Caenorhabditis elegans: one gene and its partners. The protein of the gene in region 1 purifies or fractionates together with the protein of each later gene. This does not show direct contact. Each region holds a gene or a part of one and is shown in the gene's direction. Other genes may lie near its edges. The genes, in order: ttc-4, Y54H5A.2 and impt-1.

Region 1 (8,873 bases):
TTGAGAGTAGCAATGTGAGAGGAGTAGGGATACGGTAGTGTGTACATTCATCATTTCCGCTCACAACTTCTTGTCATATACATTGACGGTAATGTTGAAGTGGAAACCGATCCACGTGCCAATGGTTTCTTGTCTCCGTATAATCCACGAGACGATGTCGAATATCCTTGAGTTGTTGAATAGTTATGTGGAGAAAGTGGAGCTCGAGACGACGTTGTCGGTGGTGGACGATGAGCCATTATACTATGCGGTGAATCAGGAGGCACTCGAACAAGACCAAACTGCAACGAGATACAACACTGCCACGTCACGATATTTAAAATAAATAACGGGGATGTGATTATGGTCCTTTTAAGAAGGAGCATGCAAGTGGGAAGAATTAACCAAATAAATTATCATGCAGAATTTTGAGAAGATTTAATTTCAATGTATCTATCTAATTTAGTTTCCCCAATTACTCACCTGTGGTTGAAGGCTGAATGGAGTAGATGTGGTACTTCCAATTGGATTTTCAGATCGGAGTCTCGCCTTATAGCGGGGGCTGGTTCCATCGGTATATGAAGGGGACATTGGTTTTATTGGTGTAGTCGGTGACAAGTATCGTGTGGTCTCACTTCTTCGAGATGCCATTGACGGGAATACAGCAGATGCTGGCTGAAAAAAAAGAAAAATAAATTAATGAAAATATTGAATATTACAAAGGCGCAGAAAATTGAAATTTTTGCTCAGAAAATACGGTACCCGGTTTCGGCACAAAGGCGTGCGCACAACGGCGTAAAGAGTACTGTAATTTTAAATGTTCGTTATTGCGGAAAAATCGACGAAATTCCGCAGCAGCGTGAGATTGAAATTACAGTACTCTATTAAAGGCGCATGCTCTTTTGCATTTAAAAAAATTGTCGTGTCGAGACCGGGCACGATATTTTTGCCGCAAAAACCACAGAATTTTGCATCTGAGTAATATCTCAATTGATTATGGTAATCTAAAACAATGGTATGATGAGGGATTAGGAATAAAGCAACTCTAAAATATTTCACACCACGTTTAAACTGAAAGCAAATTGTTTGGGAAAAAAGAAAATGGTTTGAGCACACAATGAGTGAGAGTTATACCTCGTAGAACAACGAGTTGTGGAATCTGTAGCTCTCGTTTCCCTGAAACTGTTTTGTTTATGGCTAAACTAAAACTTTCTGGCGTTGAATGAGAGCTCATTTTTAATATACCAAGTTTGTTTATAACTTACAGTTCTAGTAAGAGTTGACGTGGTATTTCCTGATGAATTTCTAGTTCGATAAGCAACATTTCCATTTGGTGTTGTTTTTAACTGACGGCTACTCGTTCCAGATGATGTTCCATTTTTTGACGGTGTGACAATAATTGGTTCACGATTTCGATTCAAATATGCTTGGCTCGGAACAGTCATTTGTGGTGTTGAACTTTTGACAAATCTCCGACTCGAGGAACTGTTGGGACTTGTTGTCTCTGATTCGTGTTGATGCTTGGCTTTCAATTGTAGAAGTCGGTCGCCTTGTGATCTTCCTTGATCGTCTAGAGCAGTCTCATCGACGACACGAGATGGTTTAGTGGATCTTCTAGATTCGGATGTTCCAGCAGGGGCTATTGTTACTGGAGCAGTTGACCTTCCATTTTGAACTTGCACACGCCTTCGAAGGATATTTGGACGAGTGTTTTCTCGACTTTTCGGAGATATCCTTTCTTCTCCTAAATTTATATCATCCACTTGATTAACAAGACGTCGTACATTTCTTTTTTCTTCTTTGTTTTGAGTAAGATGAACACCATTTGATTGGGACAGTGACCAACAGAACTTTTGTTTCTCAATGAGATAAGGTTGTTGTGGTCCGATAACTGAGCCAGGTCGACATACACGTAGCCAACCCATACACTCTCCAGCAGTCAATCCATACTCTTTCATCATCCAACAAGCGATCAAAGTCCCAGTTCTCCCGAGACCTGCTTTGCAGTGAACAGCGACTCCTCCTTTTGTATTATCAACAACTTTTATAAATTTCAGCATGATTTCATCAGAAGGTGTACTTCCATCTATGAAGAATAAGTCAACATGATCAAATCCGGCTTTTGTGAACTTCGAAGCATCATAGTTTTTTGCATTCAACCGAACAATTGTTGAAACTTTGTTCTCACGGAAGTAGTCGAAATAAACATCTGGAGCATGATACGGATACCCGTTCTCCTCGCGGCTTTCATTATGAGGCCCGCAGAAACTTAGAATTTTTCCTGGGATAATCCAATTGAAATCTCCATTCTCAACGCGCTCATAAAACTCATATTCCTCATAGTCAAAGTCTGAGAAGTCGAGCCATCCAAATTTCAATGCTTTTTCGATTCCTCGCAAAACATCATGCAAATGGAGAAGATATTGAGGTGATCCCATAGAGGCATCACGGAATCCAACAAATTTTACAGTTTCTCCGGAAGACACTTTCAAATATGCATCGTCGGCAGAGAATCCTTGATAGATTATCTGAAATACATTTTCATTATTTTAGAGATCAAGAATTTTTAGAAAATATACATTTCTGTCATTAACTTACCAGATATGCTCCGAGTACATAGGCAGTATTTACTCGTATTTTGTCATATTGCCCTGTCCCATCATCCTGACAAAAAAGCACCACTCGTCGGCTTCGCTTTTCTTCGACCTAAACGAGTGTGTTATCTAATCTATCATCAATCTTGGAATGAGCTCACCTCTAGCAGTTTGCCTACTTGGACACATAATCGATAGAGAACTGAAAGATTCCATGGACCAAAATCCTCGTAAAAAGGTTCGTAATGAAACTTGTTGTTGATATTGATGAAGCAAGTTTTCTTTACTGATTTATCTGATTTGTCGATAGCATCAGGATTGGGAAAGCAACCGAAATAAAGTCGATTGGGTAGCAACTGAAATTAAAATATATTATTTTCAGATTTTCAAACATTTTAAAATGAACAACTCACTTCTGTCAAAGTATTTTCAATTGTATTGTTACGACGTGGGGAGTGGTCTTCTCTCATTTTTTTTATTACTATTATATGGTTCTGCCTCTACTAGCACATTCCGTAGCGCCTGCAATAAAAAAACGATTGTGTTCGTGCTGTGTGGCTAGATAAATACAAACGAAAGTTGGCTCAGCTGCTCGGAAAGCAAGAGAATAGAGGTAAATAAGAAATAGAGGAATTCGGGTACTGTACGAAAATAAAAGGAGAGTTCTAAGAATTTATCGATTAGGTGATAAGATGTCGAGTAATGATGTGAAAAATGTGACATGCAATTGGGTTGGGCTGCTGGGAGAAGAAATAAACACGAGTCGCAGAGAGTGTCCCTTCCCGATCTCTCCCACACAGAATGATGATGCACTTGGCCCTGAGAAAGAATAGGAAACAGTAGGGAAATGAAGGTGACGCAGAGACTTTGGCGGGGTTTGGCAGCGTGCCAATTGTTCAGTCACATTGACTGTCTTGTGTTTGAATTTGTTTGCAGTAGGGCAGTATTGCATTGGTTATTATACAAAGAAAATGAACAAGTTACTAACAAAGAAAAGAAGAATTGAATTTTATTAAAAAGGAGAAGAAATCGATTTTGTTGAATTCAATGAAGATATAAGAAATTGGATTAATTTGAGAACTATATATATATTTTGGGCAGTTTCAAAAATGCAACTAAGAGTTATAATTATATTTTATACTTATAAAATATGATTCAAAATTTGGGATTTGATAAGATTTTAAAACATACAGATTTAAAATTTTTTTCTTCTGAAATTCATTACGTTTCTAGCATCTACTATTTAAATTATAAATTTATTCATATTTAAAACTAGATTTTGAGAAATTTTGTTGCCGCTGATGGCAGAGAAGGCTTCTTTTATTGGAGATTTCCATTAAATTATAAAAATATTGAAATAATATTTTATGCAAAATGTCTTACAATAGGAGAAAAAGAAAAGATTGTTGAAAAATAAAAATGAATAAAAAAACACAAAAATAAATTTTGAATGTAATTTTTCTCAGCGGAGCGCACTTGCGCGTGTGTCGAGACCACTCACTTTAGAAGAATGCAAAACCTGAGAACAATGTTTCTTTAAAAAAACAATTGTTTACTATGATTAGGGTAATTGATCAATTAATAAACTTTTTTTGAAGCCAAAAAGCTAAACTTGAAAGATTTTACAACTAAAAAAATATACTCTTTTGCGTTGTTTTTTGTTCATACACCCGCTTTCCACAAGATCGCATTCCTAAAACTGGTGTCGTCTCATTCTTTTTTATTTCCTAAAATTTCTGAAAATAAAGTTTTAACTGCATTCTTTTCGGTTACTCTTTGTTTTATATTTATTTTAAACGTTAATTTTCAGAATGAATCATCAATATTCACCAATGGATCTTCCCCAGAAGAAGAAATTCACTGAGTCAGAGCGAGCAGCCCTTGCGAAGAAACTTGATGACGACCTAGATCAGTTCATGGAAGAAATGGCTGCGAGAAAAGTAATTTCATATTTAAATCTCTGCAATCGTGACATTAAATCTTACATTTTCAGTCTGATAAGAAAGAAGAACGAAAACCGTTTGATTTCGATGACTGGTGCAAAGAGATTGATCAACATCCTGCATTCATGACAGAAATGCCCACGGATGGAAAATATCAGGACACTATTGAAGCTTTACAGGCAAGTAAATGGATAATAATATCGAATTAATACGTACAAATATTCAGTCTATGAAATACGATAAAGAAGACGACGAGGATAAGCAAATGAATGCAGAACATCACAAAGAGGAAGGAAACAAACATTTCAAATTTAAGAAGTATAGATGGGCGACTGATTGCTATTCTAATGGTATCTCTGAATAAGAAATCCAGAAAATTTTATACTAAAGTTAGAAATTTACAGGCATCAAAGAAAATTCACCTGATAGGAAATTGAACGCTGTGCTCTATTTCAACCGAGCCGCAGCTCAAAAACATCTCGGTAATCTTCGATCTGCAATTAAAGACTGCTCGATGGGACGGAAGTTTGATCCAACTCATCTGAAAGGTGTAATTCGAGGAGCCGAATGTCTTCTGGAATTGGAATATGCAAAAGACGCGCTGAATTGGATTGAAAGCAGCAAAAAGATTTTCGCATTCACGAAAGAAACTTCTGACACTCGTATGTTCAATTTTGATTTAAAAAAAAGTTAAATTTTCACAATTTTATTTTACAGCGGATCTTACTGATGATGAGAAAAAATTCATAGATCAATTGGAAACACTTCGAGTAAAATCAGTTGAACTGTCATTGAAAGAAGAAAGAGATAAAAGAAAATCAAGAGCCGAAGAAAGAAAAGAGACAGAATCGAAGAAACAACTATTAGATGCACTCAAGGAACGGAATTTGAATTTATGTCCCCGCGTTCCGTTTGATCGTCCCGAACTCATGGATATGGCGAGACTTACCGTATCCCTTCCGTTGATGCATTCAGTAAGTTTAATTTATTCTGAAACTTTGAGTTTCTCTAATTTTCTACATTTCAGCATGAATGTGTCAAATTCGATGATGATCTAAATCTTGTATGGCCGATCCTTCTACAATATCCCGAAGCTGGTCAAACTGATGTTCTTACCGAGACAAATGAATTAACAACCGTCGGAGAATTGTTAAAAGAAGTGTTAAATTCACCAGCTCAGTGGGATCCGGAGCACAAATTCAATTTTGAGAATGTTCGGTTCTTCGTATCGGATGAATATGATGAATATTTGATGGAAGTGTACGAATGGAATGATTTCAAATCGGTGCTTAGCATGCCAGGATATCAAATAAAACAGGGGCTTCCTGTAATTATGGTGAGTTTTTCCACAAAACGCTGAATTATGGGTTTATCATTTCCAAAATTGTTAAAATAAAATAATTCGACAATTTTTCAGATTATGACCAAAGAAAAAGCCGCAAGTTCCCTAGAAGCATTGGCTGAGGATGAGAATCGATACGTTGCTAAATAAAATTGTTGTCATTTGATTACAAATTCTGTTATTTTACTTCATCCCGTTGTTTTGTTGTGTTATTTACTTCCTGACTTGTTGTGTCTTTTTTTTTTGTGCAAAAAAAATTATTAATAATTACAAAATTCCTTTACCCATTTTTAAAAACTTATGGTTAATAACCGATGGTTTTTATCTGGAAGAATTTGTCATTTCACAATTAAATTAGGTATTAATTTCAGATAATTCAGCTATGAAACGTAAATCGAAAGCTGGAGGAGCCAGTGACAAATCGAAATCACCAAAGCTAAAGAAAAGAAGAAGTGTTGTCCTGGAACCTATTCATATCAGTCCGAAATATCTTGAAGACAAGTTCAAAACGGAATTTAAGAAAGGATTTGAGAGTAAGTCAATTAATAAAAAGTTTAAAAGCGATATATTGCAATTTTTATAGAATCAAATGGCCCATTTCCTCATTGGCAACTCCGAAACTTTGTGGATAACAGCGACAACGTGGTAGAAAAGATCGAAGACGAGCTACAAAACTTTGAAGGTTGGAAAAGAAAAGAGAATGATCTGTACTCTTTGTATCAATCTGATGATCTGAAATCAATTAATCCAGTTGAAAATCCAGCTGTATTTTCTTTTCGGTAAGAAATATATTTTCTTGATTCTTCTATTTGCTTTATTAATAATAAGTTAATTCCAGACAATTCTTATACAAGGAAGTCAAAGAATGGCTCCAAAACGTATCAGGAGTGGAGCTGACTGAGCAAGTTGACTGTAATGGAAGCTGTTACGCAAGAACAGACTCACTATTACCACATAATGATCTCGTATGTTTTTATTTAATAATTTTTTGATTGCATTTTTTAAATTGTAGATTGAAACTCGTCGATTCGCATTTGTCTATTACATCACATCAGCTGACTGGGATTCGGAAGTGAATGGTGGAGATTTGCAGCTTTTTAATCACGACAGTACGTTAAACGTTTAATTATAAAATTCACATTCACATGATTTTTATTTCAGAAAAACTACAACCAACTTCTGTGGCTGCTCAATTCTCACCATTACGTAATTCCTTTATGCTATTCGAAGTGTCTGAAAAATCTTGGCACCGAGTTGCCGAAATGCTTTCCGAAGAACCTCGTTTATCGATCAACGGATGGTTCCACTCAACTCGACGGATCGAACCAAAAAAGCCAGCAGTAGAAGCTATTCAACGATTTGTACCAGAGGCGGCGTGTAAATTGTCGAAACTCATCAGCAAAGAATATTTACAAAAAGAAAGGCAAGATGAAGTGCAACAAACATTTGCTGACAGTTCTGAACTTAATTTGAGTAAATTTATATTCGTAAGTTATTTATTTTCATATCGTGAATATATTTTGTTTTAATTCTAGGAAGAAATTCATGATAATGCATATTCTGAATTAATTTCCAACCCATCTTGCTTTGAAACTGTTGGCCCGGTTAGCAAACGCCACGTTGCACGTCTTGATGAAGAAAAATCTGCGGATCTGCAGAATACTAAAAGAATAATTCAATGTCTGAAGTCCAAAAATTTTGCAAAACTGGCAGCCAAACTGACTGGAGTTACAGTAACCGGAGCTCAAACAAGTGTTAAAGTTAGTCGTGTGGAGCATGGAACATATTGGGTTCTGGGAGATGAAGATGCTGAACAAAGTTCAACTGATGGATACTGTCTGGATGTTCACCTATTCGTACAGAAAACCAATTGGGATGATGAAGCTGGTGGTGACCTGATTTACATCGAAGAAGGTGATACGGAAGAGGTAATTTGAAAGTTTCGTTTTTTTAATTTGAAAAATAAAATAAATTCCAGCTCCTACGAATTTCCCCATCACCAAACGCCGCATCAATAGTGTTCCGTGAGCCTGGTGTGATATCGTTTATGAAATACGCCAATTGCAAATCATCTGATCCGTTCTTCCTTTTCACAGTATCATTCTACAATGTTCAAGTTGTCGAAGACTAAAAACTACTATTCTATTCATTTTTTGTTCTGTTATTTTATGCGTTAATCTTGTTCTATTTTTCGGTTTTGTTAATTTTGATTGTCATCATTATTGTTTATTTTGTTGAAACATCATGAAAGATTTCGTGAGATTTCAATGTTCTTCTTCATCGGCTGGCTGACCATCGTGCACAGTTAGAGAGTCGATCACAAGTCTCTTCTCAGTCTCCAATTGGATTTCAGTAAGAACTGCATTGAATGGGGTTCGACGTGTCACAGAATCACTCAAGGTGACTGATTCAGTGAATTGGACTAGTTTGCCATCTTTTACATCAACAAATCGAGAGAGCTGGAAAATTTGGACATTGAAAAAATATTGGAAAGTTGGAAATTACCGAATAAGTACACGCCTGTTCTGGAGTCAATTTTCCCATGAATTTACGATACCACTCTTCAATTTCAAGTTGTTTAATACAGATGCGAAATTTTGCCAATTTTAGTTACTTTCAATATGGTATGTTCCTTTAAGGGTTACTGTAAATTCCAACCTGCATAATTTCAATTGATTTTTCACAATTTTCGATGAAACGTTATTATTTTTGAAATACTGATTTTAAAAAACAAGAAAACAATATAAAAATCACACCAAGTTTTGAGAAAGCGAGAGAAAATCTATGAAAAATTATTGGAAAATTCTGTTGGAAATTACAGTACTCTTTTAAAGGTGCATACCTTTTTGCAATTCACAAAAAAAATTTCGTGACGAGACCTTATACCGTACTATTGATGCAAAAATCTCTGCAATTCGATAACCCACCGTTGGCGTCAAAGCTTTCAGAAAAATACGTGGAAAAATCGGAAATACTTTGATTTCGAACTGAACTTTCGATTCCTTCCAATGTTTT
Region 2 (9,879 bases), on another chromosome or scaffold:
CATGCGGTGTTTGCGTACTCTTAATATTTTTATCAATTTTTTAATGTTTTTCGAAACAAAAGCTATTTTCCTTTTATTTGTATTCATTTATGTGTTAAAGATAATAATATTAAATATTAATATTTTTTGATTTATCTGTCGCAAAGTTTCTGTACTTTCTGACTATATTTAGACTTATTTTCAGCCTGAAACGCTCACCCTTCAACAATGGCCAACTTGGATGATGAACTGGCTTTGTAAGTTGATTCTTCCTATATTTATTATCAAACAAATTATATTATTTTAGATTTGAAAGCGAGTTAGCCGAACTTGAACAAGCGAGTAGCAATTCGGAGGAGCCAGCAAGCTCTCAAACGCATGTTGGCTACGATAATGCAACAATTTCGGCAGGACCAACTACTTCCGAGTCATCAGCAGCTACTTCTAGTGCTCAAGTTATTCAACCATCACTTTTGGCAGCGCCTCCGTTTATTCCGATAGCTGCCACAATTGCAGTTTCTCCATTTATCAACCCGGCACTTGGGAGGCTTCCAACAATGCCTCCAGTTCCACCTTCAATTTTCATGCCTCCACAATTAAGAGCTGCACCGGTTAGTTTTGATTTTCCGTTGACTTAAAAAATATCCTTATTTTATGAATAAAGCCATAAATTTTTGAGAGAAAAGTTAAAAATTGAAGTTATGTGAATATTACTCTCAATTGAATATTAAATTTACAGATAATGTTCCCTCCTCGAGTACTCGGAATTCCGGCTCCTGCAACTATTGAAGGTGCTCCAGCATTATATGAAACACCTGCAGTAAACGCAATTCCACAAGAACTTCTGCGAACTCAAGCTCTTCAATCAGATATTGATAAGATGAATTTCAAAAAGCAAACCGATCCATTTAAGAAGAAAATCAAGGAACAACAAGCGAAAAAGAAGTTTGTGAGATCCGGTGGTGGTCAGGTTTGGGAAGATCCATCTCTTGCCGAATGGGATGAAAATGATTTTCGAGTTTTCTGTGGAGATCTGGGAAATGAAGTGTCGGATGAACTTCTTGCAAAGGCTTTTCGAAAATACCCAAGTTTCCAAAAAGCCAAAGTTGTCAGAGAATCACGAACAAATAAGAGTAAAGGATATGGATTCGTTTCATTCAGAGATTCGGAGGATTATGTGAGAGCTATGCGTGAAATGGACGGAAAATATGTTGGAAATCGACCGATTAAATTGAGAAAATCGGCATGGAAGGAGCGTAATATTGATGTTATCAAGCAAAAGAGAAAGCAAAAGAAAGAACTTGGAATTTTGTAAATCGATTCGTTTTTCTACATTTTTTTCTGTAATTTATTCATTTATACCCCAATACTTTCATTGTACCCCTTATTTTCCTGTCATCGTATTTTTATTCATTTTTCTTTTCAATATATAAAAGTCTGAATTGAGATATTTATCGTTATTTGAGTATCAGGAGCACTGTTGCATGTCCAGTGCAAAATATACCTCTACTGTCATTTTAGAACATTACATTTTTGAGTTTTTTCTTTTCAATTCATATTTAAGAAAGGCTGAAATCTTTTGAAAACTTCAAATTTTGAGGGAACAATACCGTATCCGGTCTCGACACGATACATTTTTGTTAAATTCGAAATGCTGTGCGCCTTTAAAGAGTACTGTAATTAAAAAATTTCGTTGTAGTTCAATTTCTAACGATTCTTTGAAGTTGTTTGATAAAAATATATCTACTAATCAAAAACTTCAGTAAAGCATAAATTTTAACAATAACTAACAAAAAATTCTTGTCGAGACGGAGTACTGTATATTTAGCGCACAAAACGAGAATTTTCGTGTCTGTGTTTCAAAAATGTTCTTCCTGAAATTTAAATGATTTTGGCTGGAAGTTAAGATAGGTAGACATTATATCTAGTATAGGATTTGTCAATTAGATACTTTCAACTAATTTTGTTACAAAAATGAAAAATACTTTCGACCCCTTCATTGGCTAGAACTTTCTATATAAGTATAGTTAGTAGGTGTCTTCATTTAATTCCTGTTTGTATAAATGTAGTACAAGTGGGTGGCTGTGTTGACGAGTATATCAATTGCGTAACGGATACCGACTACTTCACAAAGAGTGCCGATGTCGAAAGTTTGAGCAAGAGATTACGAAGGTGACGGGTCGAGACAGGGTCACACGGTGTCCTTCCGATTGACGGTTGCGCAATTCAACGCATCTTCTGAAGATGAAGATGTTGTTTGGTGACGGCAACAGGTCAATCTGTGCATCCGGATCAGAAGATTTGAAAAAAAGCGGCTTTTTGTACTGAAAGTGTGCTGTCAGTCTGTTGTTTACGATAAATGAGCGAGAACTCTGAATTTACTTGGAATTGGAATTCTAGACTCGTATTCGGATACAATTGTCAAAAAGTCAGATCCTATTCGATAATTCTACACGACCAATTAAAAAGCAATTTAAAATCATAATCTGTGCGATTAACTCATATTTTTCATTCAAACTGAAAATGGTTCCGCTTCGCAACCAAATGCTTCTTTTGATGTTATTACATGAACACATGTTTGATGATATCATGTTGTTTTCTGTTGTGCAATAACAGTCATATCCTTCAAGAGCATGTTGAAAATCATTCGATGCGAAGAATCTCTAGATCTAGATAATAATCCCCTTTAGCTTTTACTAATAAGTAATCCTTTTCCCTATTCTCTTCCGTCAAATTTATAAGCAATTCCTCACCATTTTGTTCACACCTGATACCTCGTTTATTATCAAGTGTAATGCGGTATAAAACACCCATGGTATGGATTGTGTCAGGAAAATGGAAACATCTAATATTTTATGACACGAAGAGGTCTTGGATTAGGAACAGCCGTGTGGACGAAGTGTGGCATGGGGTTTGAAATGTATGGGTTTTCACTGTGAAGCTCCCCTATTGTTTAAACTTATCAAATTTAGATAATTAATATAAAATGAAACTTGATATTTATTCCATCAAGTTTTCAGTTTTATTTGATCAACATTGAAATTTGGGGAGATAAACATCCAAATAGCATTAATCGGTCTTAGCAACCAGATATTCAACTCTGATTATGCAACTTTGTCCACATTATCCGGTGGTCCATTGCTTGTAGATGACGTAACTCTGGACCGTTTGTTTTCCAAAGTAGTGTTGCATCAACAATCACCATGCATATCCCATTGGATTACGGTAGTCAGGAACCCTTTTCTAGTTTTTTTCAATCTGGAGTGTCCGTTCTTTTGTGCACATCAAGTGTGAGATGTACACGAGCCGCAACGTCCGAAAAGCACACTTCAACCTGACTTTTTGTCCCCAATTTCTCACTCTCAACCGCAAAAGACTTACAGTAACCCGCCACCTTACACATTCGCGCACTTTTGAAGTGGCCGACTGTGAGGATTGGCGCTGAAGCTGCAAGATTCGAGATGTTTGTCGGTGAGAAGGACGCGTACCCGGGTGGGCGAATGAGGTATACTGTAAAATAGAATTGAAGTGATTGTTAACTAGACTATGGGTGTGACAAGTTGATTTTGACGTCAAAATTTGTTGCAGTCTAGCAGGGAATTTGAAGTTTAGAGAATTGAGTTCATACTAGAGATAGAAAACTCAAGGGGTTCTAGAAATAAATCAGGCGTTGTGTGAAAAATGTATTTAAAAAGTGATAATCGGAAGAAATATAACATAAATTTAAAAACGAATTGAAATGAAATCCTGAATTTAAAAATAATTATTTATTTCTAGATGACTGACCTGGAAGTAAGCGTCGATGATTTGGTGAAGCTCCTCTCACCGACTATGTCGTAAGAACTGAGGTTATTATTCTTAATTGAAAATTCCAATTCCAGATTAATTGTTCGTCGTAAAACAATGGAAGTTGTCACTCAACTGGGTACACCGCTCGATGGATCTGCTGGAAAATACTTCCAAGCTCAAGATTTTGCTCTGGGAAAAGCGATTTGTCAGTTATGTGAAGCAACTTCTTCGGATCGAACTGAAACTCTGGCAGCTCTCACAAACTTCACTTCTGGTTCCATTGAAGCCGCTGATTTTGTATTGGATAAATCAAAATGTGTGGAAATTGCTTATACTGCAGTTGTTACTAATGTAAGGGAATTTTAAAGTAATATTCAACGCTTTCATAATATTACATAGACGCGTAATTTTGCGTTTTTTGCGCCAAAAATACGGTACCCGGTCTCGCCACGACTTTTCAAAATGCAGAATATGTGCGCCTCAAAAAACTGTAATTTCAAACTTTCGTTTGCTGCGAAAATTTATTCACAAACTTGTTAATATCAGTGTTTAAATATTTTTTTTTTTAAAACAAATTTTTATTCAAAAACGAAGAAAATTCCGCAGAAACGAGATTTTGAAGTAGTGTTTAAAGGTGCGCATCCGTTTGAATTTAAGAAAAAAAATGTCGCTTCGAGACCGGGTACCGTATTTTCTGCGCAAAAATTGTGAAATTTCGTTTCTGGTTAATATAAATACAATAAGAATATAGAGAAAGACTAATATTTTGGATAAAAAGAACGAGTGGTAACCTTATACCATAAGTAGTAGTTGTGTCAAGTACTCGTAATCCCCCGACTTTAAGTGTTTTTCTTTCAGGCCTTGTATTCGTCAGTTGCCTCTCGTCTGCTTGTCAATGTTTCCCGCCATTTCCCAGATCGTGTTGATCATAAGTTGAAAGCACGAAATGCGAATTATATTGGACAACTGCTCAGTGAGTTTCTTTTGGTGAATTCAAAATATACTTCAAAAATTGAATTAAAAATGTTTTTTGAGTTTCAAAAATTCTTTCTCAAAATTTTTAATTACCTACTCTTGAAAAAGTGACTTTTAGAACACCATTTGGTCCTGATGCGAGTGAAATATTCCAGCTACCGTAGCCGAGAGTATGGTAGATAATTTTACACTAATTAATGAAAAATATTGAAAATATTCTAAAAAGTTTTTTAATTTTCCAGACGTGAGATTATGTGATTTTTGTACCAAAAAAACGATGACTGGTCTCAACACGACAAGTTAAAGAGTACTGTAGTTGCCGCGGAATATTCATAGATTTTTAAAACAATAATTTGAAATTAATTACAGTACCCCGTAAAACCGCACATCATTTTTCATTTAGCGAAAACTTGTCGTGTAGAGACCATATACCGTATTTTTAACTTTCAAATCACACAAATAGCTCGAGGTTACTATAGTCGAATAGTTTCTTTCGTGCCAGGACCCAAAAACTGAAAACTTTTTCACATTCCTCTTCATAGATCTCATAGGAAAATAAATTCAACGAGAATCTAATCGAGAAACTACGGTTCGTGTGGTAAAAACAAATCCTCATTCAATTCTCGAAACTACAGTAACCACATAATCTAAATGTTGTTTTTTTTCGGTAGTATTGTCCTTGAGTTACATATTACCCAATATCCTCTACACACGCTTATTAGCTTGTGTTTCATGTCATCCATCTTTTGATTGATTCTTCTTTTTCCTAAATAACCTTGCTCGTCCCTCTTCTTGTCCTTCCTCTTTCTTTCAATGTTCGGTGACAGCTCACTTTTTCAAATAATTGACGGAGGTGATCAAATGTGGCGAATTGTACACCTTCTGCATCGACTTATTTCAGCCTTATAAAATTGATGAAAAAAGACACGTTGATAATAGTATTACAGTGGGGTGGTTGAAAGGAAGATGCCGACAAAACTAAGGGGATTACCAGCGCCTAGTTTATCGTATTAGTGTGTTTGGTCCTATTTGTTGGTTATCAGTTAGCAGAGGCAGCGAGCACGTAATGAAATACACAAATATGCTAGATTCTATTGTGTTATGAAGTTAAAAAGGAGTACGGTAGGTATGAAGATTATTGACTGAAACGGTAAATTCAATCATAGTCTGTAACTTGAAAATACTAGAAATTAAATGCAAAAACGAAATTAAAATTCAAAAGATGGTACCGCGATTTCGCTGAACTGAATAATCGTTTTCGTTAAACTTTTTTAAAATTTGAAATAGTATTTTAACTTGATTTCTTCTTTTTCATAGTGTTAGTGTGCCCTTTTGAACAAAATTTCGTAACTATGAAAGGGGATTTTTCGTTTTCAGTGTACAGTATTCCGTGCTAAGATTCTAATCTGCCCAAATCATTCGGCGCAGCTATCATCAAACTTTCTGTCCTATAGCATTCCATGAAATGTTACCTGCTTCTGTATTCTCGCCAATTAGTGTCGCTTCATCAAGCGTCAAACACAACACATTGGTCAACACACACATATCACCTCCGTTATCAGTCCTCACACCGTACGTCGTTAAATTTTAATGGCTCCAAGTACAAACAGCCCCAGTCAGTCCCCCCACACTGACACCTTTCACTTCATAAATCTCAAGCTGATAATGATTATGTAACTGGCGCGAGGTCAATCTACTTGAGTTATGTAACAGAACAGCATGGAGCCAACACAAACTTTGCTCTTTCCGTTAGTCTTCACGCCCATCCTACAGTAATCCAGTGTTGACACTTTCTTGGGTTTTTCGACGGCGGCAATTGTCTTTTGATTAACACGGAATTGGAATACCAATCATTCTGTGAAGGCGATAAGTCGTCACACTCTTTTCGCTGCTGTATCAGAAGTTTGTACGCGTGACAAATTCGCGACATTTTCTCGGGGAAATGTGTTTGAATATTGGAATAAATACGGTGTTTGATATATTAATAGGTTCTACGATACGAGGAAATGATAGTTGGTGTTGGGAGAAAAGAGGAATATGATATAGGGTTTTGTAGGTACAGTAGTCTTACAAAAGGAATATTTCGAACTTGGAAATAAAGTGGAACTAGAAACTAAAATATTATTATACTCACTATTCAGAAAACTTTAATACTAAAATTTTAAGTGTCCAATATTGGGTTTCGAACACATTTTCAAATATTTAATTAAAAATGTCATTTATATAAAGCTTTAACTGATACATTTTTTTCAGATGAGATCAAGAAGTCTGTAGAGACTGGCGATGAGGATCGTGCGAAATTCGTCGGATTCACCGTTGTCAATCTGTCAGTATTGCCTCCAATCCGGCAAAATATTGTTCAAGGAGGTATGCACACTCCTCCACTTATACATTAAAAATTGAAATGTGTGTCTCCTGGTAATAAACTTTTTTTCTTATCAGGTGAGAATGAATCGTCGCCTCCGTCGACGACAATGAAATTGCTACCAATTGTTTGCGAGTTGCTGACAACCGCCGAAACGACTGAAATTCGAGAGTGTGCAGCCGACGTGCTCAGGAATTTGGCGTTTGATGATAGTAGGTTTCTAGATTTTCAGACCAAACAAATTGTTGAAAAATTGAACCTTTGTGTCGTTATCTATAGATCAAAAACTTTTGTGCAAAAAGCAAGGATACTGTAGCTTTTTCGGTGATTCGCGGATTTCTGTTTGTTTATCAACCTCCTTCGAATGTTTTCTTTTTCAATCTGACAATGAGCTCGAACTTTTTATTAGGAAATTTCAAATGTTAGTTGCATTAAACCTTAGTTTTTTCATTTGTACCTCCAGATCATACCTGTGCGGCATTTGGTTTCGGCATTTGAACAAAATGCACTTTTTCATAAATATGAAAATACGTATATGTATGAAATAGCATACGATGAGAAGCCCGACTCTTAGGCTTGTCACCAGTCAAAAAAATTTCAAAAAAAGTTTACCCCTGCTCGAGATATGCACCCAAATGCCGTATGGCGAATGCCGTATGCCGTATTCGGCATACGGCATTTGGGTGCATATCTCGAGCAGGGGTAAACTTTTTTTGAAATTTTTTTGACTGGTGACAAGCCTAAGAGTCAGGCTTCTCATCGTATGCTATTTCATACATATCCGTATTTTCATATTTATGAAAAAGTGCATTTTGTTCAAATGCCGAAACCAAATGCCGCACAGGTATGCTCCAGATCCCTAACTTAAGTTCTTCAGTGTGACAATTCGAATTCCCTCATCCTTATTCATTTCGCCGCCTCGTTTTTTTTCTTTCCCATTTCATTCAGTCTATTCAATTTGAGAGTCATAAAACAATGAGAGGGGTATCCTCTGATAGTTAAGACACCATAACATCAGGAGGCAAGGCTGACGAATTCTAACAACAACGCCGTCGTCTTCGTCGCCATATAAGTCGGGCGGATACGGCTATTTCGACACGAATAGAGACACAAGGAGTCGGTAATAAAGTGTCAATGAATGGAGTGGCAAAAAGCCGTAAAACCATCCACGACGATGACACCCCGCAACGAATTCTTCATTTGGACACACGACATTTCAACTATTCTTTTATCTTCTTCTGATGATGCCGTCTATCTGTTATAGTATGTAGATGTGGCTTCGAGATAAAAATGAAACCGTAATTCACATGGATTTTGGAACTTGAAAACCAAAAATGAAATATAATCCAATTTTCAAGAAGAAATGTAGAAAATCGCTCATTAGAGAAAAAGTTTGGAAATACAGAGTTGAGCCAATTTTGACCATTCGTCATTGAGCCAGAATCTTAACATTCCTAAGCAGGATACTACGTGAACTAACTACAGATAGTTGTCCAATTGGCGATAATTTCACCCCCAAGGTTTGCTTTGGAAAGGTCATCTCACCTGAATCACAAGTTCTAGTTGTGCTTGTACTGTGAGTATTTAGCAATAATTATTACTGCTCGGGTTCTGTGTTTACCTTCACACCTGCATTTTAAACTATTACATCGTTCAATGATGTCTCATAGTAGATCATTTGACGTGTCATTAAACGTTGACGCAACCTTCTCTGTATTTGCCAAAAAGGTGGCAGTAAAATGATCTAGAATTTAATAGGCTTTAACTCGCACCTACTTGTTTCTCTAATTGTGTTGCATCACGTGGTCATGTGACCGGATGCCACAATTTCGACGAAAATACAATTTTCGCGTCAAACGGTCAACGCCTTTTCTTCTGCCAATTTCGCGTCCCTCTCTGTAATTCGATTACGGTATCGGTTCTCTTCCTTCTCATCACTTTTTTGTACTCACGCGTGCGGACCGTTCTGCTTTTTGAAAACGATCAAGAATTGAGAAGAGAAAACGACTTATAAGGTCATTAATAAGTCCTTTAACAAATAGGAAAAAGGGGTACATCTTCTTTTTTTCTGATTCTGGAGAGACAAAACAAGATCGTGATAATAGGAATAAGACGATTCGGGGGTACACGGTCGTTTTTGAAGTTGGAAGACGTTGCCGCCAACAGTGATAGCGGTGTTCATCATCATCATCACTGGGAGACAAGATGACATGTACATACTCGTAAATGTGATTGATTAATGTGTCAAATCAAATATCATTTCCAACTTTTCAATGTCGCGGCTTGGATATTGGATCTTCCGTTGGTTTTTTTGAGAACCTAGAGAAAAGGTTGATAAGGAAGGAATTGCCGGAAATGTTCATAATATTTCAGAATTCTAAAAAATTTGGGGACTGAAACCTACTACCATATTTTTTGAAACCTACACAGTTAGATTCCCAAAGTACACACTCCTTGCACTTACCGTACCCAGATAGTGTGCGCGAAATTAGTGACCCCTCTTTATTGGTCATAAATTGTACTCGATTACTGTTATTAGGGCCTCTGACCTTATTTGACCATTATTATTTCTATGGCTCTTGTATCAATATTATCAATTTGCTTATCGAATGTTATGATAACATTCAGATTTTCCTGTCCTCCTCCTCCTACTCACACAAAACATGTTAGCCTCGATTTTCGACATATTTAGCGTTGATCGAGTACCACTCGAGCAACCATCATCAGTCGATCTAATTTGCACAGAGAGGAGCCCCGAGCCACACACAAAT
Region 3 (11,286 bases), on another chromosome or scaffold:
GTCGGCAAATTGCCGGAATTGAAAAATTCCGGCAAATCGGTAAATTGCCGGTACTGAAAAATTCCATCAAATCGGCAAACCGGCAATTTGCCGGAATTGAAAATTTCCGGCAAAGCGGCAAATTTCCGGAACTGAACATTTCGGCGAATCGGCAAACCAACAATTTGCCGGAATTAAAAAATTTTTCACCGTATTTTTCAGATTTTTCAACAGAAAAAAGTTGAAAATCGATTTTTTTGACATTTTTCCAAAAAAAAAAATCACGATTTGAAACAAAAAAATGCAGTTAAAAACCCGTTTTTCACAGAAATTTTTTCTCATTTTTTTCAGAATTTTTGAGCTAAAATTGGGTCAAAATCTAGATTATCGCATTTTTTACACTATTTTGTATTCCGAAAGACGTTTTTCAACAAAAAATCTCAAAAATTTCCCGTTTTTTAATATATATTTCTATGGGTTTTTACAAATTTTTACAAATTTTTACACCCAAAAATCAAAAAAAATTTCCACGAAAATTTCCCCATACTTCCTTTCCGAATTTTAATCGAAACATGATGTCCAATAGGTATTCGATATGTAGTGTGCTCGGGGAGCTGTAGACTAAAAATCAATGTATCATGATTTAATCGATATCGATCAATAATTTCCGTCGTGTGATATGTGACTCCTGGCCGTCGTTGAATTTTACACTTTGATCTATCAATTTTTCCTCCGGAAATTTCACGGGAAAATCGAATTTCCACGCGATTTTTCATAATTTTCAGGGTATATTCGACGTGGCAAAGTGCTGGAGTTGGCTCGAATTCAAATTCCATCGCTGGTTTCCAGAAATGATGAATTAGTACTCGGAGACGAGCGTGCTCTTCGGTATTCTCCTCGCCACGTGTATTTATTGATGTCTGGGGAATTATTAGGATGTTGTTGGGTGAGGAGGATGGGATACTACAAACTACAAAATTTGTTTTTTTTTCGGCTTTTAAGTGGAGAGTTAGCTTTTTTGACAAAAAACTACAAAAAATGGTTTTTTTTTTTGGTTAAAATTCTTCAATTTTGCATAGAAAATTTGAATTTCCAGCTGAACTGTATTTTAAAAAAAAATCAAATTTTGTGTAGTATGTAGGCTGGGAGGACACTACAAACTACTTTTTTTTTGGGGTTTTAAGTGGAAATTAAGTGGGTTTTTTGAGTAAAAATGAGAGCAAATGATAAAAAAAAATTTGATAATAGTTTTGAAAATTTTATTTTGAATTTCCCGCCAAACTTTTTTTCTTTTTTTCCAATAAATTTAAATTTCCCTGCAAAAAATTTTTCGCAGTTTTTTTTTGTCAAAAAAATCGAATTTAGCGTCAAAAATGGTGTTTTTGATAAAATTTGAAATTGTCTTCAAAATTTTTTTTCAGAAATTTTTGAATTTCCTGCCATAACATTTTTTTCCGGAAATTTTGAATTTTCCGCCGAAAATTTATTTTTTTATCAGAAAATTTGAATTGCCCGCCAAAAATATTTTCAGAGAAAATTTGAATTTTCTACCAAAAAATTATTATTGTTCAGAAAATTCGAATTTTCCGGCAGAATTTTTTTTCAAAATATTTGCATTTCCCGTGAAAATTAACTTTTTCCTAAAAAAAATTGAATTCCCCCGCCAAAAACGTTTTTTTTTAAATTTAATTTCCCGCCAAAAATTGATTTTTTGCTGAAAATTTAAATTTCCCGCCAAAAATGTTTTTTTTTCATAAAATTTTGAATTTAACGCCAAAAATAATTTTTAAATTTGAATTTCCCTGCAAAAAATTTTTCGCAGAAAATTTGAATTTCCGCAAAAATAATTTTTTTTTAAATATAAATTTCCAGCAAAATTAATTTTTTCAGAAAACTTGAATTTCCCGCCAAACTGTTTTTTTTTTCAAAAAATTTGAATTTTCGGGAAAAAAAATTTCTAAAAATTTTGAAATTACCGCAAAAAAATTTTTTTTCAAATAATTTGAATGTCTCGTCAAAAAAAATTTTTTTTTCAGAAAATTTGAATTTACCGCCAAAAATTTTTTTTACAAAAAATGTTTATTTCCCACCAAAATATTTTCCAGAAAATTTGAAACTAGCGCCAAAAATTTTTTCTAAAAAATTTAAATTGCCCTGCAAACTTTTTTTTTTTTAATTGAATTTCCCGTCAAAATTAACTTTTCTCATTTTTTTAAATTCTCGGCCAAAATTAACTTTTCTCAGGAAAATTGAATTTCCCTCCGAAAAAAAAAAATTTCTAAAATTTTCTGTAGTTTGTAGTCTCTATGTACCTTAACAAAAACAGGCACTAATGAAACAATAACATTGTGCTCGGTGAGCTCTGTCCAATCATCATGCTCAAATGAAATTCCAGAATTGTCAGAAAGGGTCTCGACACGAGCTCCATATCCATTTTCAGATGGATCTGTACTGAAAAGTGCTGAGCTGGGAACACCGAGCTTGTTCTTGTCATCCGAAGTTGTTGGTGGAAGTGGTGAAGGTACTGGAAAAATATTATTGGTGGTAGTGAGGCTCACAGACTACAAAAACTACAAAACTACAAACTATACAATTTTGTGTGTAGTTTGTATATATTGTTAAACTTTTGATGATGCTAAAAATTCGGCGAAACTTGAAAAAAGTTATAGAAAATTTCAAATTGAATCGGTCCAAATATAGTGACTACAAACTACAAAAATTTTGAAAATTTAGACTACAAACTACAAACTACTGAATATTTAAAATTCTAATGAAATTCGAAAAACTACAAAAATCCAGCATCCACATTTTTGTAGTTTGTAGTCCAAAGATTGGCGGAGACTACAAAGACTACAAAAACTACAAACTGCACAATTTTTGTGTGTAGTTTGTAGTTATTGTCAAAGTTTCAAAGCTGCTAAAAATTAGGTGAAAATTTCAAATTGAATCGAATAAAAATTCAGTGACTACAAACTACAAAAATGTTTTTTTTTCAAAGTTGTGTAGTTTGTAGTCTTTGTCTAAAGACTACAAAAACTACAAAAATTTAGACTACAAACTACAAGCTGGGAATTTTGATTTTAAAGTATGTTGGTACTACTAGTCAGACTTTAAAAACTACAAACTACAAAATATTCTAAATTATGTGTAGTTTGTAGTCTACACTTTTTCATACTAAAACTACAAAAACTACTGATTTTTTTAAATTCTAATGAGAGTCGAAATAAATAATGTTACCAACATTGTAGTTTGTAGTCCAACGTTTGTTGGAGACTACAAAGACTACAAAAACTACAAATTATAAACTATACAATTTTTGGGAAGTTTACAGTTATTGTCAACGTTTTGATTACAAAAATTGGGCAAAACTTTTTTTAAAAAAAGTTACAGAAAAAAAAAATACAGTAACTACAAACTACAAACAAAACAAATTTTTAAGTATGTGTTGTTTGTAGTTTGTAGTCTTTGTCTATAGGCTACAAAAACTACAAAAAATTTTTTTAATATTAGAGCATCTAATTAAATACAATGACTACAAACTACAAGCTGAGAAATTTGATTTTAAAATATGTTGGTACTACTAGTCAGACTACAAAAACTACAAACTACAAAATGTTCTAAATTGTGTGTAGTTTGTAGTCTTTGCCTATACTTGTTTATATTAAAACTACTGAATTTTCGAAATTCTAATGAGAGTCGAAATAAATAATGACTCCAACATAAACATTTTTGTAGTTTGTAGTCCAAAGATTGGCGGAGATTACAAAGACTACAAAAACTACAAAGACTACAAAAACTACAAACCCTCACATTTTGTCAAATCTCCGATAAATGGTCCAACTACACATGCTTTCAGCATACTCTCATAATTCACCCACGCGTGGTATTGATTGAAAAGGGGCGTGGCGTCTCGGCCAGCGCCACGTAGCAATTCGGGTATACCGCCCGGATGGAAATCCAGGTACTTGGTGACGTCATACACCTGAAAAATATTTTTTTTTTGCGGGACTACAAACTACATTTTTCAAATCTATTTTTGAAAATGTTTTGGATTTTTTCGATTTTTTTTAATTTTAAATGTTATTTTGTTGTCAAAAATCACATTTTCCGAAGAAAACTGACTACAAACTACAATTTTTACAGCCTCACTCATAAAAGTTTGGTGAGGCTCAAACAACTTTGTAGTTTGTAGTCTGTGAGCCTCAACCAAGTCATTTTTTCAAATAATCGCAAAGTTTTAGTTTTTTTTTTAATATTGCAATTTTCACTGTTAAAAATCACGATTTAAAAGCCCGTTCACCAGCAAAAAATCGGTTGAAAATTGATCAAAAGCAATGAATTTCAGATTTTGGTGAGGTTGAGAGCATTTTGTAGTTTGTAGTCTCCGAGCCGTCACCCAATTTTATTAGCTTTTTAACGGATTTTTGTTGTAAAAATAGGATGAAAATCGTTAATTTTTTGGCTTTCTAGATTATTTTCAATTTGATTCAATCTTTAAATTCAGTTTATAGTGAGGTTGAACCGGGTTTTGTAGTTTGTAGTTCCTCAGCCTCAACCAAGTCATTTTTTAAAGTTTTTTTTTTTTATTTTTTAATTTTCACTTTTAAAAATCACGATTTTTTCGTTTTTTTTCCCCAAAAAAATCGAAAATTTTTCAGTTTTTTCTAAAGTGAAATTTTAGTTTTATGAATATAAAAATTTCAATTTTTCAGTTTTTTTCCTCAAAGATCGGACATTTTTTTAATTTTTAGTGTAAAGTTTAATCCGATCGATCGTGAAAACAGGTTAGAGATTAATTTTTGGATTTTTTTTTTCGATTTTTTCAACTAATTTCGCAGTTTTGTAAGTTTTTTCCTCGAAAGTTGGAAAAACCGTCTTACAATTCCAAAAAGGTGTACCCAACAGTCGTCTTTCGTGTTATGCTTCATCAATTCCACGTGATCCACACCTCCACTGACTCGTTTCGCCAAATGCTGAAAATTTTCATGTTTTTGGTAGAATTCAGGCTACAAACTACACAAAAATCTTACTTTTCGATAAAATTTCACGAATTTTGAGCACATTTTCTAGTGATTAGACTTAAAAATAATGAAAAGAAAAAGGTTTTTCCATCGGAAAATGACGAAGAAGCTGTGGTATCGGAAGAGAAAGAGACGCAGACATGTGAGATGCTGTGTGTGAGCCTCCGACGGCAAAAAAAATGCGAAAAAAGTGCAATTTTTCAATTGGAAATTGATTAATTTGCCTTGGAATGTTGGTTGAGGCGGAGAATTTTGTGTAGTTTGTAGTCTCTTAGCCTCAATCAACAATTTCGATGCAATTTTTATCGAATTTGAGCCGTTTTTTGTGAAAATTTAGTGAAATCGGTCCTATTTTAAACATTTTTTCTGGTTTCAATGTAAAATTCTAGCTTAAAACGCAATATTTAATTTTTGGTTGAGGCTAAGCCAGTTTTTGTAGTTTGTAGCCTGTTGAACAATAAATTTTAATGTGAAAATTGGGATTTTTTGAGAAATTTTGACTTTATTGCAAAAATGCAAGAAAAAACAACAGTTTTTATTTGATTTTCCGCCATTTTTTTTTCAAAAAAAGTTAAGCGTTTTTACTTTTAGTTGAGGCGTCGAATTTTGTGTAGTTTGTAGTCTCTTAGCCTCAACCAACTATTTTAATGTAATTTTTATTAAAGTTGAGCGGTTTTTAGTGGAAATTGCTGGAATTTCAGTAAATTTGGTGATATTTTATACTTTTTTTCTTATTTCATTGTGAAACTCCAGCAAAAAACACAAAACTCAATTTTTGTAGTTTGTAGCCTGTTTAAAAATAAATTAAAAATATGAAAATTGGGATTTTTTGTGAAAATTTGACTTTTTAAATTGACTTTATTGAAAAATGCAAGAAAAAACAACAGTTTTTATTCGATTTTCGGTCATTTTTTAAATTAAAATGTTGTTTTTGGGTGAGGCTCATAAATTTGTGTAGTTTGTAGTCTCTGAGCCTCAACCAAGAATTTTTATCGGATTTTTAGTGAAAAAAACTAGAAATTTCTTAAAATCGGTGCTGAAAATCATATACATATAGATTTTTTTAAATCTGGTTTTACTATAAAATTCCAGTATTTGATCTGAAACGCAATGTTTCAATTTTTGGTTGAGGCTGAGCAATTTTTGTAGTTTGTAGTCTATTTCAAAGCAAATTTTAATGTTAAATTTGAGTTTTTTTGAGAAATTTTAATCTTTCAATCTGTTTTTATTGAAGAAATGCACGAAAAAAAACAGTTTTTATTCAATTTTCGGCCGTTTTTTCGAAAAAATTAAAGTTTTTTTCAGTGAGGCTCAGAAATTTGTGTAGTTTGTAGTCTCTGAGCCTCACCTAGCGAAAAATTGAGGTTTTTCAGATTTTCAGGAATTTTTGCGTGAGTTTTAAGCTTTTTCTAGACTTTCTCATGCACTTAAAACGTTTAAAAAATCGAAAATTTAAATTTCTCCCCACAAACCTTATTTGTCGTGAGCCTCAACCAATCCATAAACCCTTTTCCGGGTGCCAACGCCACTTTGACCCGTCCATATTCACTTCTTCCTATTGTTGGTTTCGCAAAAAGTCCATTACTTGATCCATTAACCGATAAATTGTTCATGAGATCTGAAAATTCCAGTTTTAAAATATTTTTCGATGAGTTTGCAGGCGAAAATTGAGAAAAATTGGGTTTAATTGAAAATTTATTGATTTTTAGAATCAATAAAATAATTTTAAGTTAGTTTTTTTTATTAAAAATGCAAAAAGTCAATCAAAAAACATCTGGAAATCGCTTAAATCCGAAAACGCGCCAGCATGCGCGAGAAGTGCGCCAACAAAATTGCTGGCGCATAACTCGATCACATGGAAATTTATTCATTTTTAACTGTTTTCTGTTATTGTTTCGATATTTTTCAATTAAAAAATACGAAAAATCGAATTTTTCAGACAAAATGAGCGACGAGGAGCAAAGAATAGCAGAAATTGAGTCATTGGCATCGATTTTTCCGGATTTATTAGAAGAAACAACTGATAAACAGCTGGTTTTTAAATTCGATAGGGATATTGGAATGACAATTAATCTGCCAGAGGATTATCCTTCGATGTAAGTGTTTAAAATATTTTAAATTTGAAAAAATATGTTGGTTTACGCGGAATCTGGTCTAAAATTGGAATTTTTATTGAAAATTTTTTTTAAAAATCTGCTATCGATTTATTGCCGAAAAATGGAAATTAAACTCAAAAAAATACACAAAGAAAGTAAAAAAATCAATTTTTTAAACCAAAAATTGCAAAAATCACATTGATTGAGGCTCAGAGCGTTTTGTAGTTTGTAGTCCGTGAGCCTCAACCAAAATAAAAATCGTCAATTTACTTCGTTTTTGTTAGAAAAAAACATAGTTTTCTCTTTATATTTTATCAATTTTTGAACATAATGAACGGCAACAATAAAAAATCCGGTGAAAATTGATAAAAAACGATGAAATTCAGTTTTGGGTGAGGCAGAGCGTTTTGTAGTTTGTAGTCGGTGAGCCTCAACCAAAATAAAAAATCGTCAATTTACTTCGTTTTTGTTAGAAAAAAGCGTAAAAACCTAGTTTTCTCTCCATATTTCACCAATTTTGAATTAAATGAACAGCAACGGTAAAAATTGAGCAAAAACGATGAAATTCAGTTTTGGGTGAGGCTCAGAGCGTTTTGTAGTTTGTAGTCACTGAACCTCAACCAACTGGAAATTTACCAATTTTTGCTCTAAAAACTGAATTTTACCATTTTATTCGGTTAAAATATTGAGAATAACAGATTTCCTAATTTTTTCATGCAAAATTCTTGAAATTAAGATTAAAAAATCGCAAAAAATCACATTGGTTGAGAGCGCTTAGTAGTTTGTAGTCCGTGAGCCTCAACCAAAATAAAAAATCGTCAATTTACTTCGTTTTTGTTCGAAAAAAGCGTAAAAACATAGTTTTTTCTCCATATTTCACCAATTTTTAAACAAAATGAACCGCAACTATAAAAAATCCGGTGAAAGTTGAGTAAAAACGATAAAATTCAGTTTTGGGTGAGGCTCAGAGCGTTTTGTAGTTTGTAGTCGCTGAGCCTCAACCAAACTTAAAATTCGTACTTTTTCTTCGTTTTTCTTCAAAAAAAAACATGCAAAAAACACGTTTTTTCTCGTATTTCACCAATTTTTTCCAGATCTCCGCCAATTTTCGAACTAAGTGGTCCATATCTCCGTCGGGAGCAGAAAGAGGTGCTTCACAACAGTCTAAATGACGTTTATATCGAAAATATCGGATTTCCAGTGATTTTCAATTGGATATCCCTTGTTCAAGACTTTATTCGGGTAGGTTTTTACCGAAAACACGCGAAAAAAAAGAAGTTTAAAATAGTTTTAGGATCTTCCCGAAGAAGTAGCGGAGCCCAGCCATGTGGCCGATGACGTGGTGACACCGATGGCCGAGGAAATCGATGATATGAATATTCGACACGGAGAAGTGCTTACAGACCGGAAAAGTGCATTTCAGGCTCATTTGGCCGAGGTTCGGAGTAAGGAAGATGTAAGCCTCAACCACACTACAAACTACAATATTCTATAGCCTCAACCAAGAAAGTTTTCCACGTGGAAGTCTTAGCCTTAGCCTATAAAGGCTTATAAATTAAAAAATTTGAATTTGATATTTAAAAAAAAGCTGTGAAAATGGAAATTTTACTTTTAAAATTCTGAAATTTCACAATTTTTTTTGTAGTTTGTAGTCATAATTTCCATTTTTTCCAGGTGGATCGAGTGATGCGAATCCTTAAATCGAATACAAAAATCTGCCGGGCAACACATAATATTACAGCATATCGATATATGACTGAAATCAATGGAAAACCAATTCATCATCATGATTGTGTGGATGATGGGGAATTTGGAGCAAGTTCGAAAATGTTAGAGCTCATGGATCGAATGAAAGCGGATAATGTGATGGTAATAGCTTTTTTTCCGCGAGAAAATCCGCTGAAAATTGAGCAAAAACGATGAATTTCGGGTTTTGAGTGAGGCTCAGGGGGTTTTGTAGTTTGTAGTCTCTGAGTCTCACCCAATTTTTGAATTTTCTATTAGTTTTTTTGTAAAAAAGTGAAATTCGTTAATTTTTTTGCGTTTCTTGAACATTTTCAATTTGAAACTCGAAAAAATTCGAATTTTAGTTTCAAACACACCCTGAAATTCCGTTTTTGGTGAGGCTGAGCCGGGGTTTGTAGTTTGTAGTCTCTGAGCCTCACCCAAATTTCCATAGTTATTTTAACGGTTTTTTCCTGTAAAAATAAACTTTTCCACTGGTTTTTCCAAAAATATTGAGAAATCTTGTTATTTTTTTGGGTTTCTTTTTAAAAAAATTCGAATTTTAGTTCAAAAAACACTCAAAAACCGATAAAATTCAGCTTTTTGTAGTTTGTAGTCTCTTAGCCTCACCATTTTTTTTTAGTTTTTTAACAGATTTTTTCTGTAAAAATATAGTGAAATTCGTTATTTTTTGCGTTTCGTGAACATTTTCAATGTGTAACTCAAAAAATTCGAATTTTATTTTGAAAAACACCCTAAAATCAAGTTTTGAGTGAGGCTCGGAGCATTTTGTAGTTTGTAGTCTCTCAGCCTCACCCATTTTTCGTAGCTTTTCAACGGATTTTAGCGGTAAAATAGGATTTTCTACTAGTTTTTTTTTCGCAAAAAAGTAAAATTTATTAATTTTTCTGAGTTTCGTAATTATTTTCAATTTGAAACTCGAAAAAATTCGAATTTTAGTTTCAAACACACCCTGAAATTCCATTTTTGGTGAGGCTGAGCCGGGGTTTGTAGTTTGTAGTCTCTGAGCCTCACCCAAATTTCCATAGTTATTTTAACGGTTTTTTCCTGTAAAAATAGAATTTTCTACAAATTTTTTAAATCAAAAATTGTGAAATCCGAATTTTTTTATGGGTTTTTAAAAAAATTCAAATTCTAGTTCAAAAAATACTCAAAAACCGATAAAATTCAGCTTTTTGTAGTTTGTAGTATCTGAACCTCACCGAAATTCCAAAATTTCTCAAAAAAAATTTGTTTTTTTTTGGTTTGTAGTTTGTAGTCAAGAAACTATAGTTTGTAGTGGTCCTGAGCCTTTTTCCAGAATATATTTTTGTAGTTTGTAGTCGCACGTGGAGTCAGAAAGTCCCATTTCGTTTTGATCTTCGAAAAATGCGGGAGAAGAGACGCAGACATCTCATCTCATTTCGTATGGTTAAGAGCGTGCTGACGTCACAATTTTTCTGGAAAAATATCCCCGCATTTTTCGTAGATCAAACCGCAATGAGACAGCCTGACACCACTTGTAGTCGAAAATAGCAAGATTGTTCAAATTCATTAGAAAAAATGTTTTTGTAAGAAAAAAGATTGATTTTTGCATATTAAAAATCTTAATGCTTAAAAAACTGAAAATTTTCCAATTTTGTAGTTTGTAGTCTCTGAGCCTCAACCAATTTCTTCTTTCAGGTCGTCGTTTCACGTTGGTACGGTGGAATTCATCTTGGACCCGATCGTTTTCGACATATTAATAATTTAACTCGGCAAATTTTAAGTGATAATAATTATGGACCGAAGAAGTCTTAAAATTCTATATTTTTTAACGTGATAATTTTTTTTTCTTCAATTTTAAACTCCCTACGTGTGCTTTTAATATTATTAATCCAACAACTCTTTCAAATTGTAATCATTTTCATTTATTTTTCAAAACATTGGTCACTTTATACTAATAAATAGTTTTTCAATCAAATATGCGTTTTCTGATGGAGTTGGGCTCACCGAACGATGCAAACTACACTGTATTCTGCTGTTCTCATGTCGTTTTGGCTTTTGCCATTTTTATGGTAATTTTTGGAAGTGTTCTGGGATAATTTTTGGAATTTTGGAATTAAAAAATTTTTTGAAAATTTTGGGAAAATTTTTTTTTTTTTCAAAAATTTCAAAACGTTTTTTTCACTTTTTTTTTTGAATTTCAAATATTTTCCAGATCCTTGACTTTACCCTAACTCTATTCTCATTTGGCTTAGAGCTTTTCCTCATTTTCGTAAGTTTTTCTCCTGAAAGTTCCCCTCAAAATCCCCAATTTTCCTGCAGTTCCACGACACTTTTGACCAATTTTGGGCGATTTTTCACGGAATTTCACTGGTTACTTCAATTTCCGCAGTTTTGGCGATTTGTGTGAGTATATTTGGCGGAAAATTTGAGAAAATCTGAAATTTTTGACTTAAATTTTAGGAAATTTTTTTTCTTAA

The links.
Region 2: the proteins of ttc-4 (region 1) and Y54H5A.2 fractionate together in Caenorhabditis elegans (co-fractionation; one large-scale study listed by BioGRID). This does not show direct contact.
Region 3: the proteins of ttc-4 (region 1) and impt-1 fractionate together in Caenorhabditis elegans (co-fractionation; one large-scale study listed by BioGRID). This does not show direct contact.

Annotation. Positions count from the first base shown.
Region 1 is NC_003280.10:5,590,331-5,599,203, forward strand, and holds ttc-4 (Cns1/TTC4 wheel domain-containing protein), read left to right. Parts: upstream 1-4,383; 5' UTR 4,384-4,405; coding exon 4,406-4,513; intron 4,514-4,566; coding exon 4,567-4,695; intron 4,696-4,742; coding exon 4,743-4,866; intron 4,867-4,920; coding exon 4,921-5,178; intron 5,179-5,233; coding exon 5,234-5,490; intron 5,491-5,543; coding exon 5,544-5,852; intron 5,853-5,933; coding exon 5,934-6,008; 3' UTR 6,009-6,146; downstream 6,147-8,873. Other genes in the region: Tyrosine-protein phosphatase cdc-14, read right to left, coding at 463-654, 1,114-1,155, 1,245-2,507, 2,578-2,685, 2,735-2,929, 2,987-3,043; C17G10.1 (uS12 prolyl 3-hydroxylase), read left to right, coding at 6,241-6,391, 6,442-6,637, 6,697-6,823, 6,871-6,967, 7,020-7,345, 7,394-7,786, 7,837-7,989; spig-18 (DUF4440 domain-containing protein), read right to left, coding at 8,123-8,317, 8,364-8,419, 8,786-8,873.
Region 2 is NC_003281.10:5,143,456-5,153,334, reverse strand, and holds the start of Y54H5A.2 (Protein HGH1 homolog), read left to right. Parts: upstream 1-3,756; coding exon 3,757-3,815; intron 3,816-3,860; coding exon 3,861-4,119; intron 4,120-4,626; coding exon 4,627-4,741; intron 4,742-6,996; coding exon 6,997-7,110; intron 7,111-7,185; coding exon 7,186-7,320; intron 7,321-8,341; exon of another isoform or gene 8,342-8,362; intron 8,363-9,879. Other genes in the region: rbm-42 (RNA-binding protein 42), read left to right, coding at 208-236, 287-590, 719-1,294.
Region 3 is NC_003279.8:10,965,825-10,977,110, reverse strand, and holds impt-1 (Protein IMPACT homolog), read left to right. Parts: upstream 1-6,933; 5' UTR 6,934-6,944; coding exon 6,945-7,096; intron 7,097-8,190; coding exon 8,191-8,338; intron 8,339-8,384; coding exon of another isoform or gene 8,385-8,390; coding exon 8,391-8,552; intron 8,553-8,770; coding exon 8,771-8,965; intron 8,966-10,504; coding exon 10,505-10,621; 3' UTR 10,622-10,786; downstream 10,787-11,286. Other genes in the region: Y52B11A.3 (Cytochrome-b5 reductase), read right to left, coding at 527-899, 2,292-2,503, 3,784-3,961, 4,860-4,952, 6,473-6,613; spe-38 (uncharacterized protein), read left to right, coding at 10,798-10,878, 11,022-11,078, 11,129-11,212. UniProt on the Caenorhabditis elegans protein: Translational regulator that ensures constant high levels of translation under amino acid starvation.